2 linked regions of the Xenopus tropicalis genome follow. The protein of the gene in region 1 purifies or fractionates together with the protein of each later gene. This does not show direct contact. Links are inferred from orthologs where the notes say so. Each region holds a gene or a part of one and is shown in the gene's direction. Other genes may lie near its edges.

Region 1 (4,588 bases):
TGTTTTCTCTAGAAAAAAGGCGCTTGCAGGGGACATGATTACTCTGTACAGGTACATTAGAGGTGATTATAGGCAGATAGGGGGATGTTCTTTTTTCCCCATAAAAATGATCAGTACACCAGAGGCCACCCATTTAGTTTAGAGAAACGGAGCTTCCACTTGACGTAGCATAGGTGGTTTTTCACAGTGAGGGCAGTGAGGTTGGGGAATGCCCTTCCTAGTGATGTTGTAATGGCAGATTCTGTTAATGCCTTTGAGAGGTGCCTGGATGAGTTCTTAAACAAGCATAGTATCCAAGGCTATTGTGATACTAAAATTTACAGTTGAATTGATGTTGGTATGTATAGTTTATGTATGCGAGTGTATGGATAGGTCAGTATACATTCGTGTGTGTTTGGTTTACTTGGAAGTGTTGAACTTGGTCTTTTTTTAACCCTTTGTAAATATATATCTATATTCATGGTGAATTGGTTTGAAAATATGGGTTTATACCTTAGGTTCTATACAAGAAAGCAATCTTTTCTATAGCTATAAATATTTGATATTGATGAGTATATTGGACTTTCAAAATCAGCTGTATGCCATGCATATAAAATGTGTTTGATGTATTTCTGTATAGTTTTGAAACAAATGATCTTTGCCACTTGAAGTCAAAATTGCCTGGTCTGCAGTGGGTTAAATTATTTAATGTATAGCTGCTGTTACAGAGATGTTCTGTTCCTTGCACATTTCTAATGCATTTTAGATTGTTAGATATCACTATATACAATATATGTAGTAAACCATTATTTATAGTTGGGTGCTAAACAATCTGCTAAATGAAATGTTATGCAGAAAATTTTAAAACTTAATTGCATTAAAGGAGTGGTTCACCTTCATCATAACATTAAGCATGTTATAGAATGGCTGATCCTTAGCAACTTTTCAGCTGGTGTTAATTTTTTATTTTTATAATTTTTGACTTGCCATCCTCTTCTGACTCTTTTCAGCTTTTGAATGGGGGTCACTGACCACAGCAGGCAAAAAACTATTTCTTTGTGAAGGCTACACATTTGTTGTTGTTACTTTTTATTACTTACATTTCTATTTAGGCCCTCTTTTATTCATATTTCAGTCTCTGTTTTAAATCACTGCCTGGTTGCTAGGTTAAATTTGGTTTTCTGGTTGCCCTAGCAACCAGATAGCTGCTAAAATTTTAAACTGGAGAGCTGCTGAACAAAGCGTTAAATAATTTAAAAAATGCTATAATAAAGAATGAGAACCAATTGTAGATAGTTTTTCCACATCATACTTAAAGTTAATTTAAAGGTGAACAACCCCTTTTAAGGTCCGAATTATTCATTCTTGAGGAAGAGGGTTGGGGAAAAAAAAAGGTAAAGAAAAACCGATAAGTTAGTTATCTCACACACTTTTTTCTGCTTTTTTTTTTTTTTCCAAATGCATTTTTTTAAGGAAAAAAGACAATCCTCACAAAACAATTCCTGGAAAAAAGTGAGCAAGGCAACGACAATGTGAGTGAGATAATTCGCTTGTACATCTTTACCTTGTTTTACCCAATCCCTCAAATCAAAAATGAGAAAAGCAGAATTGTTTGTAGCACCATCACCAGCTAGATGTAATGAAAAGAGCAAGATAATTGCAGAAGTCTGTTGGTAACAAATACTTATCTAAATCTTCAGTGTGGGATATTTTATTTAATAGAGTAGTGGATTAGGTTATGAAAAAATATTAACTAAGCCTCCTTGTGTCCTACAGTGTTCTTGCCAAATGTGTAAGCAATATTTGTGTTTAATCTGCATTTTCAAAAAAAGAATACAGCCCTAAGAATGACCTGTAGGCTAATTATTTATCTCAATACTGCCATTTTTTTTTTAATTTCTTTCTGTTAGGTGTTGGTGGTGCATCTGAAAATGAGGACCCATCTAAAATGGTAATGGTTCTTGCAGCAACCAACTTTCCATGGGATATCGATGAGGCTTTGCGGAGACGCTTAGAAAAAAGAATATATATTCCTTTGCCATCAGGTGGGTCGCAGTATAAATGTTGAGATGGAATAATATTGAAGTATTGACAAACTATTTGCGTGTTGTACAAGAAGGGGTCTGAAAAGTATTTTATGGTATTAGGTAGGGTTACAATACATGGTTATGTTTTCATATGTTTATCAATAATTATTAAAGGATGGAGGCATAAAGACAGATGACGTATAAACCTATTTTAAGGACTTCACTTGAAGATATAAAATAAATTGTGGAAATTGTGATTTCCTACCTGTATATTTTTGGAGTGTGGTAGGAAACCAAAGTACCCTAAGGGAACCTTTGCAGACATGCAAACTCCTGCAATTCTGCATAGCTACTGTAACATGGAAGGCCTTTTCAAATGTTATTCAGTTGTATTGAAATATTGAAGCCATTCAAATAGCCATTTAAATGAGTAGTAATTCTAAGGTTGGGCACAGGGAGCTGGTAGGAGACTAAAACCAACATGCACATGACTAGTAATCAGTGTGGGTGGTGGTATTGTGTCTTTCTTCTTTTCTTGCTTATTGAACAGTATAATAAACATAAAGAGTAAATAAAATGTAAATTCATATTGTTTCAGCAAAAGGAAGAGAGGAGCTTCTACGCATAAATCTCAAAGAGCTGGAGCTGGCAGATGATGTCAACATTGAGTGTATAGCAGAAAACATGGATGGATACTCTGGTGCAGATATTACCAATGTGTGCAGGTATGCTATTCATAGATTTTCTTTTTTCCCCAAAGAAAATCTTTAGCATTGGAACTTCACTTATTTGTAGACCCGTGTAGTTTTTCTTTAGTGTTCAGAGTAAAGTGCAGTCCTTCCTTCTGATGTGAACGATCTATACCCACGTTGTGGTTTTATAGCCTTTATAGGTTATATTAACACATCAAAAAGTCATCATGGTCCTGCATTCATAGGCACTGAGAAGGCCAATGGATATTTCTTTTAAAACTCTGACAGATGTTGCATGAAGCACATTGAGACAGATATCTATTTGTAACACCATCACCTTTATCCATTAACTCAAAAGTTGTTACTAGCTAGAAAGGCTTTTAAAGGCATTGTGGAAATCGCACCTGTACTCCTAAAGCTATAGTTCTCAAAAAGACGATAACAACGCAGTGCACTGTTTATTTCTCCACAGTTGCCATACCACTATCAGGATGCAATCACAGCAGTAAAGCCAGCTACTGGGCTTAGTACAATTTTATTACTCATCAGTCATTTCCATTTTTCCCGCCTTGCACCTGCATGGACCTTCATTATTTGATAGTAAGGTAAAATGGCATATAGACTAGGCCAGGGATCCCCAACCTTTTATTCCTGTGAGCCACATTCAAATGGCAAAAGTTTTGGAGAGCAACACAAGCATGAAAAAAGTTCCTGGAGGTGCCAATGAGAGCTATAATTGGCTATTTGATAACCCCCATGTTGACTGGCAGCCTACAGAAAGGCTCTGCTTGGCCGTACAACTTTTTTTATTCAATCAAAACCTGCTTCCTAACCAGAAATTCAAAAATAAACACCTGCTTTGGGGCCACTGGGAGCAACATCCAAGGGGTTGGAAAGCAACATGTTGCTCACAAGCCACTGGTTGGGGATCACTGGACTAGGCTAAGGGTAGGTGGTACCCTAGGATGATAACAGCAGAAGAAATTCTTAACTGCAGGAACTAAAAACCAAAACAAATACCTTGCCTTGATACCTTGGTGGTGGCCTCTTGTTCTTTTCTATGTGAAATCCTCTATCTACAGTGGTGTGAAAAACTATTTGCCCCCTTCCTGATTTCTTATTCTTTTACATGTTTGTCACACTTAAATGTTTCTGCTCATCAAAAACCGTTAACTATTAGTCAAAGATAACATAATTGAACACAAAATGCAGTTTTTAAATGAAGGTTTACGTTATTAAGGGAGAAAAAAAACTCCAAATCTACATGGCCCTGTGTGAAAAAGTGATTGCCCCCCTTGTTAAAAAAATAACTTAACTGTGGTTTATCACACCTGAGTTCAATTTCTGTAGTCACCCCCAGGCCTGATTACTGCCACACCTGTTTCAATCAAGAAATCACTTAAATAGGAGCTACCTGACACAGAGAAGTAGACCAAAAGCACCTCAAAAGCTAGACATCATGCCAAGATCCAAAGAAATTGAGGAACAAATGAGAACAAAAGTAATTGAGATCTATCAGTCTGGTAAAGGTTATAAAGCCATTTCTAAAGCTTTTGGGACTCCAGCGAACCACAGTGAGAGCCATTATCCACAAATGGCAAAAACATGGAACAGTGGTGAACCTTCCCAGGAGTGGCCGGCCGACCAAAATTACCCCAAGAGCGCAGAGACAACTCATCCGAGAGGCCACAAAAGACCCCAGGACAACATCTAAAGAACTGCAGGCCTCACTTGCCTCAATTAAGGTCAGTGTTCCACCTCTGAATGGCTGAAGAAAAACAAAATGAAGACTTTGGAGTGGCCTAGTCAAAGTCCTGACCTGAATCCTATTGAGATGTTGTGGCATGACCTTAAAAAGGCGGTTCATGCTAGAAAACCCTCAAATAAAGC
Region 2 (5,346 bases), on another chromosome or scaffold:
AACCCGGCCCAAGGAAAGCCTCCCATAGGGCTCAATGGCACTCTGCAGCTCCAACCCGGCCCAAGGAAAGCCTCCCATAGGGCTCAATGGCACTCTGCAGCTCCAACCTGGCCCAAGAAAAGTCACGATACCGAAGCTTGAATGAATCCGAAACTTTTGTACTTGTTGCAACAAATATGTTTTTGTTACACATTTGTTGCGCAAATTGTCGCGAAGTACGAAAAAGTTGCGCAAATTAACTAAAATTTTGCAAAAAACACGCACAGTTCTAAAACTTAGAAAAAATACTGATTTTTTGTTTTTGGACTCAATCGTACTTTGATGAATGTGCCCCTTAGAGTAGAAGTGGGGTTCAGACTGAAGGCCCATTTGGGTGGGATTTGGGGATTTTTATTATTTAGAATCCCAGTTTTAGGGCTCTGGCACATGGGGAGATTAGTCGCCCGCAACAAATCTCCCTGTTCGCGGGCGACTAATCTCCCCGGAATGCCATCCCACAGGCGAAAATGTAAATCGACGGTGGGATGGCATACACGGCGGCGCGATTTCACTGAAATTGCGCCGCCGCGTATGCCATCCCACCGGCAATTTACATTTTTGCCGGTGGGATGGCAATTCGGGGAGATTAGTCGCGAACAGGGAGATTAGTCGCGAACAGGGAGATTAGTCGCGAACAGGGAGATTTGTCGCGGGCGACTAATCTCCCCGTGTGCCAGAGCCCTTAAGGTAAATTAGAGTGATGTGTTTGGTGAAAATGTAATTGCTTTCTGAGATTTTATTGGAACAAAGCCTGGACTGGCAAATGCCACAGGGGCTACTGTAAGATGCCATAGACACAGAGCTTTCAAATTTTAGCACCAGACTTTCAGGAGATCTTGCAGCGCACTGCCAAAAATGTTTTGCACGAAGTGACATCACATATGACAGAAATCCTGGAATCGACGTTACCCACATGCAGCTGCTGTCCTGAAGCCACTGACAGCTGTATGTGTATGCGCAGATGCTCCCCAGGTGTCACTGAATACCTACTGCTATGGTGCATACTGCGTATGTGCACCATAGTGAACCTGTAAAAATCAGTAGAATGTGGCAGGGTCACAGAAGACCAAGGGGAGAGAGCCAAACTTGGAAACTTGGGCAACTCCAGAACAAATCTTAAGAGTTAACAGCTCTGTAGACCAGGGGTCCTCAAACTTAAGCCGGGGGCCAGTTCATGGTCCCACAAACTGTTGGGGGCCCAGATTAAAGTCCCCCCCCCTTGTCCTCACACTATAGCCCGCTCCACGCTGCTTCCTCTTGCTCCCTGCTCCCCCCTGCATCCTGCGGCAACCCTCTGCTGCTTCCTTCGGCTACCCCGTGTCATCTGGCTCCCCACTACTTCCTCCGGCTCCCCCGCGTCCTCCCACTCCCCGCTGCTTCCTCCGGCTCCCCCCTGCTGCTTCCTTCGGTTACCCCGTGTCCTCTGGATCCCAGCTGCTTCCTCCGGCTCCCCCGCATCCTTCCACTCCCCGCTGCTTCCTCTGGCTCCCCCGCGTCCTCCCACTCCCCGCTGCTTCCTCCAGCTCCCCCTGCAGCTTTCTTTGGCTACCCCTGTCCTCTGGCTCCCTGCTGCTTCCACCGGTTGGGGGCCTGGTAAATTACCTTTGGGGGAGGCGTGTCCAGCCCACAGTTTGAGGACACCTGCTGTAGACAGTCACTATTTATTGGGCTGGTAGTGGTGGTGGGGGGTGGTGTTTGGACCTTTTCATAATTGAAATGCCATAGCATATGTTAAATCCCAGTCCAGACCTGCTTGAATATACAGCAGAAGGATGAATACAGCAACGTTTAGCTACATCCTTCTGATGAACTTAGGCGTGCCCTTTGTAAATATTGGATCATCTCCAGAGAGTAACCAATAACAACGCATTTAGGCAGAAACGAGCAGACACTGGCTGCTAAGCAATAATTGTCACACCCTCATATGGTCCATTAGAAAAAGGCGCTCAGTAGCGTTTCCCATCCTTGAAGCCTGGGTTCTGTTATGTAAGCACGCACCCAACATATCACCGTACTCATTAAAGTAAAAGCGCTTCAGCAGCCAACCATATTAGTATGGCGGTAAGTCACGCGTCTCCATGGAAAGGTTGGCGCTCGTTACGTAATTCGCTTCCCGCATCGCCAGCCAATCAGAGCCCTGCGCACAGAGGCGAGTCTGACAGCAGTTTGTGCTTTCCCGGCATGCCGTGCGGGGCAGTTTGAATGGCGCATCCTAGTGTCAGGAAGGGGTAACTTTGTTGCCGGAGCCGGAAGCCGCGCTGTACAGGACACTGTCCCGCTGCTAAAGAGCTGCCCTGCTCCCCCAGCCGTGGGGCCATGAGCCGGTAAGAAAGCCGCTTGCTTACATTTAACCGGACTTAGTGCTTGGGGAAGTGGGCGTCAACCCCATGCAGTGTCTCTAGGCCATGGTTCTTGCTCTGTAGTTTAATAACACCCAGTACTTACAAACTACATTTCCCACCACCCTTAGCCAGTTTTTTATAGTTTAGAGCAGCGCATTAGGGCGTGTTATAAAGCACATTTTCTCCTGTTTGTAGTTGCCGGTGGTACCTTATGGGAATCATAATGCTGGGATAACCACTTCATTCACTGTTACCTACTCTGCCTGGCCAGCCTCAAGGGAAGATACTCTAAGAAGCACATACAGACTCATGTATTTCTCTTTCTGAGGCCGCAGGGTTTAAATGACTCTCCCTTTGTTCTTGCTTTTGTTATATGTGTATTTCAATATCAGTGTTTACTGTTATGTGTAGTTCAGGATACCAGTGCTCTTGTGCAAGGAGAATACAGAGATTATATATCACTCATTTTATGATGTATGATGTCAATGATACATCAGTGGAGCTTAGAATCTAAGGTCCCTATCACATTCACACACAGTCACTGATCAGGAGCCAATTAACCTCATTGTATGTTTTATCATTGCATAACTTCATTTCCTCTTTTCAAGGATCCTGATAGAAGGAAAAGTATACACCCTTAATATGTACTATTGGCAGAATAAGCCAGTGGTGTATTTGGCAGAGACAGTGACTCCTTGCAGTTATGAGCAGACATATTCAATATTGGCCATAGCAATATTGGCCAGGCTGATACTTTTTATCTCACCTGTAATGTATGTTAAATTTAGATTTTAAGCTGTATGAGACAGAGGGGGTCTGAGGGGTCTGTTCAGTAAGGTCAGTATAAAATTAGCACATGTGTTAGAACCCCAAATAAGACTTATCTTTCAGATCATTAATGCAGTAACGCTAGGGATAATAACACACATCTTGAAAAAAGGATGCAATGTTACAGCACCAAAATAAAGCATCTTATTTAAGAAGCACAGGAGCATAATGAATTATGTGATACCTAAAAGAAAAATAATGGGTGAAGTACATAACTCAATCATTTAGTAGTGCTTGTTGCTGTATGTTTCATATTCATGCACAGACAGGACAAAGGTTGCTCTGTTATACTTCCGATCTAACAAAATACAGGTATAGCATCTAATATTCTGAATGCTCCAGAAAGTGGTTGGGTGTAAAATTAACTTTTATTATGATTTAGATCAGGGGCCCCCAACCTTTCTTACTCGTGAGTAGTTAAATGTAAAAAGACTTGAGGAGCAACACAAGCATCATAAAAGTTCATGGAGGTGCCAAATAAGGGCTAAGATTGTCTACTAGGCAGCCTCTATGCACACTATCAGCTTACAGGAGACTTTATTTGGTAGTAAATTTTGTTTTTATTGAACCAAAACTTGCCACCAAGTCAGGAATTCAAAAACAACTCCCTGGTTTGGGGGCACTGAGAGCAACACCCAAGGGGTTGGGGAGTAACATGTTGCCCCTGAGCCACTGGTTGGGGATCACTGATGTAGAGAATGCTATTCTGAAATTGGTCTTCATTGTTTATTTGCAGTTTTTGAATCCGTTTTTGTTCAGCAGCTTTGCAGCCTCACAGAGCAATAGTTTTTGGCTGCTGGGGCCCATTTGAAAGCTGGAAAGAGTCAGAAGAAGGCAAATAGCTAAACTATAAAAAAAAAAATGGAAAAGTTGCTAATAGGCCATTCTATAACATACTAAGTTAACCTAAACGTGAACCACAGAATATGCAGTTAAAAGTATGAAAAACGTGTTACGGTATATAGGAATAAAAAATTAAACCTTTGTAGTAAAAAGGCCAACTAAAAGCCCTACAAAAAGATCTTATTTTGTTTGCTAAAAGGCTTTGGGCTGCTTTACTGCTTTCTGTTGAGAGCGCTCCTGTATTGATTAAATGACAGACCCCTGGATATTATTATTGTTTGCATTGCACCTATTTCCCCCAACAACACTGATGTCATGTAGATTAGACAGATTTGTATATTATTATATAAAGCAAAGCAGGCTAACCAGGGGGCTTTTGTGGACAACTCCCAATAATTATTACTGTATTCTGTATTCTTCTTACAGGTTGTTTGTTTTATTCTACCTCACATGTGAGACTGACCCCATTACTGTTTCAGTAACATTCACCCACCGTTAAGCTTGTTGCTGTGTAGGCAATCGGCTGTAGAATACTGTGTAAACCATTTGGATGCAGTTAAAGTGTGTTGGAGTTCTCTGTTCTGTGTTGTTAGTGTTCTAGAACGGTAGCACTTTTAACCTCTGGGTTTTATATTGTCAGAAATAATTGTTTGCCTTTTGGAGTTCAGTATGTGGGCCAAAGCATATTATTTGTGGCACAATAAACTGCTGGTGATTCATTCCATACTGAATGTGATTTTTTTATAATGACCTTGCTAATCACCTAATATTGCATTAACTATTAGCAGACACCTCCATGCCAACATTTTTGCTCTACAAATAGTTCAATTGATAATGCTAAAGAGGGTGTTAGATGTTTGTAATTAAAGGGGATGCAGTTCATAGAACTGGTTAGATCAAGTTGCCTATTGGGAAGTAGGGGACAGCCCAGTTTTTTTCAGGATCAATTTGTAGTGACTAATAGACAACATGTTTCATCCTTAGTGGATTAAATATATGACGTATACTTGTAGTATCTCCAATAATGGCTTCTCTTCTAGTCCCATAGTTGTGGTATGTAATAGGTCCTGGCAGGTTGCAGTATTCACCAACAGTGGGATTAGTGCAGCCACGTAATTTGTTGGAATGTTGGCTATGATTGTGAGTGGATACAATTACAACTCTACCAATTAAAGGCATAGAGAAGTGCTATGCAACTGGTGGTTTCCACCCCTGTGTGCCCCCACCTGTCTGGCTGCTGTGACTGCTTACCTTTGTGTACATTTTAAATGTTATCAGTAATAAGATTAACTGG

Evidence for each region. Proteins that work in one complex are often made in the same cells at the same time.
Region 2: the proteins of katna1 (region 1) and katnbl1 purify together in Homo sapiens (affinity purification with mass spectrometry; 3 studies listed by BioGRID and IntAct, counting the BioPlex papers as one, with this or other methods). This does not show direct contact. The link is inferred for Xenopus tropicalis from reciprocal best matches to the Homo sapiens genes KATNA1 and KATNBL1.

What each region holds. Positions count from the first base shown.
Region 1 is NC_030681.2:58,147,630-58,152,217, reverse strand, and holds part of katna1 (katanin p60 ATPase-containing subunit A1), read left to right. Parts: intron 1-1,889; coding exon 1,890-2,024; intron 2,025-2,604; coding exon 2,605-2,731; intron 2,732-4,588. UniProt on the Homo sapiens protein: Catalytic subunit of a complex which severs microtubules in an ATP-dependent manner. Microtubule severing may promote rapid reorganization of cellular microtubule arrays and the release of microtubules from the centrosome following nucleation.
Region 2 is NC_030684.2:118,598,774-118,604,119, forward strand, and holds the start of katnbl1 (KATNB1-like protein 1), read left to right. Parts: upstream 1-2,287; 5' UTR 2,288-2,363; intron 2,364-5,346.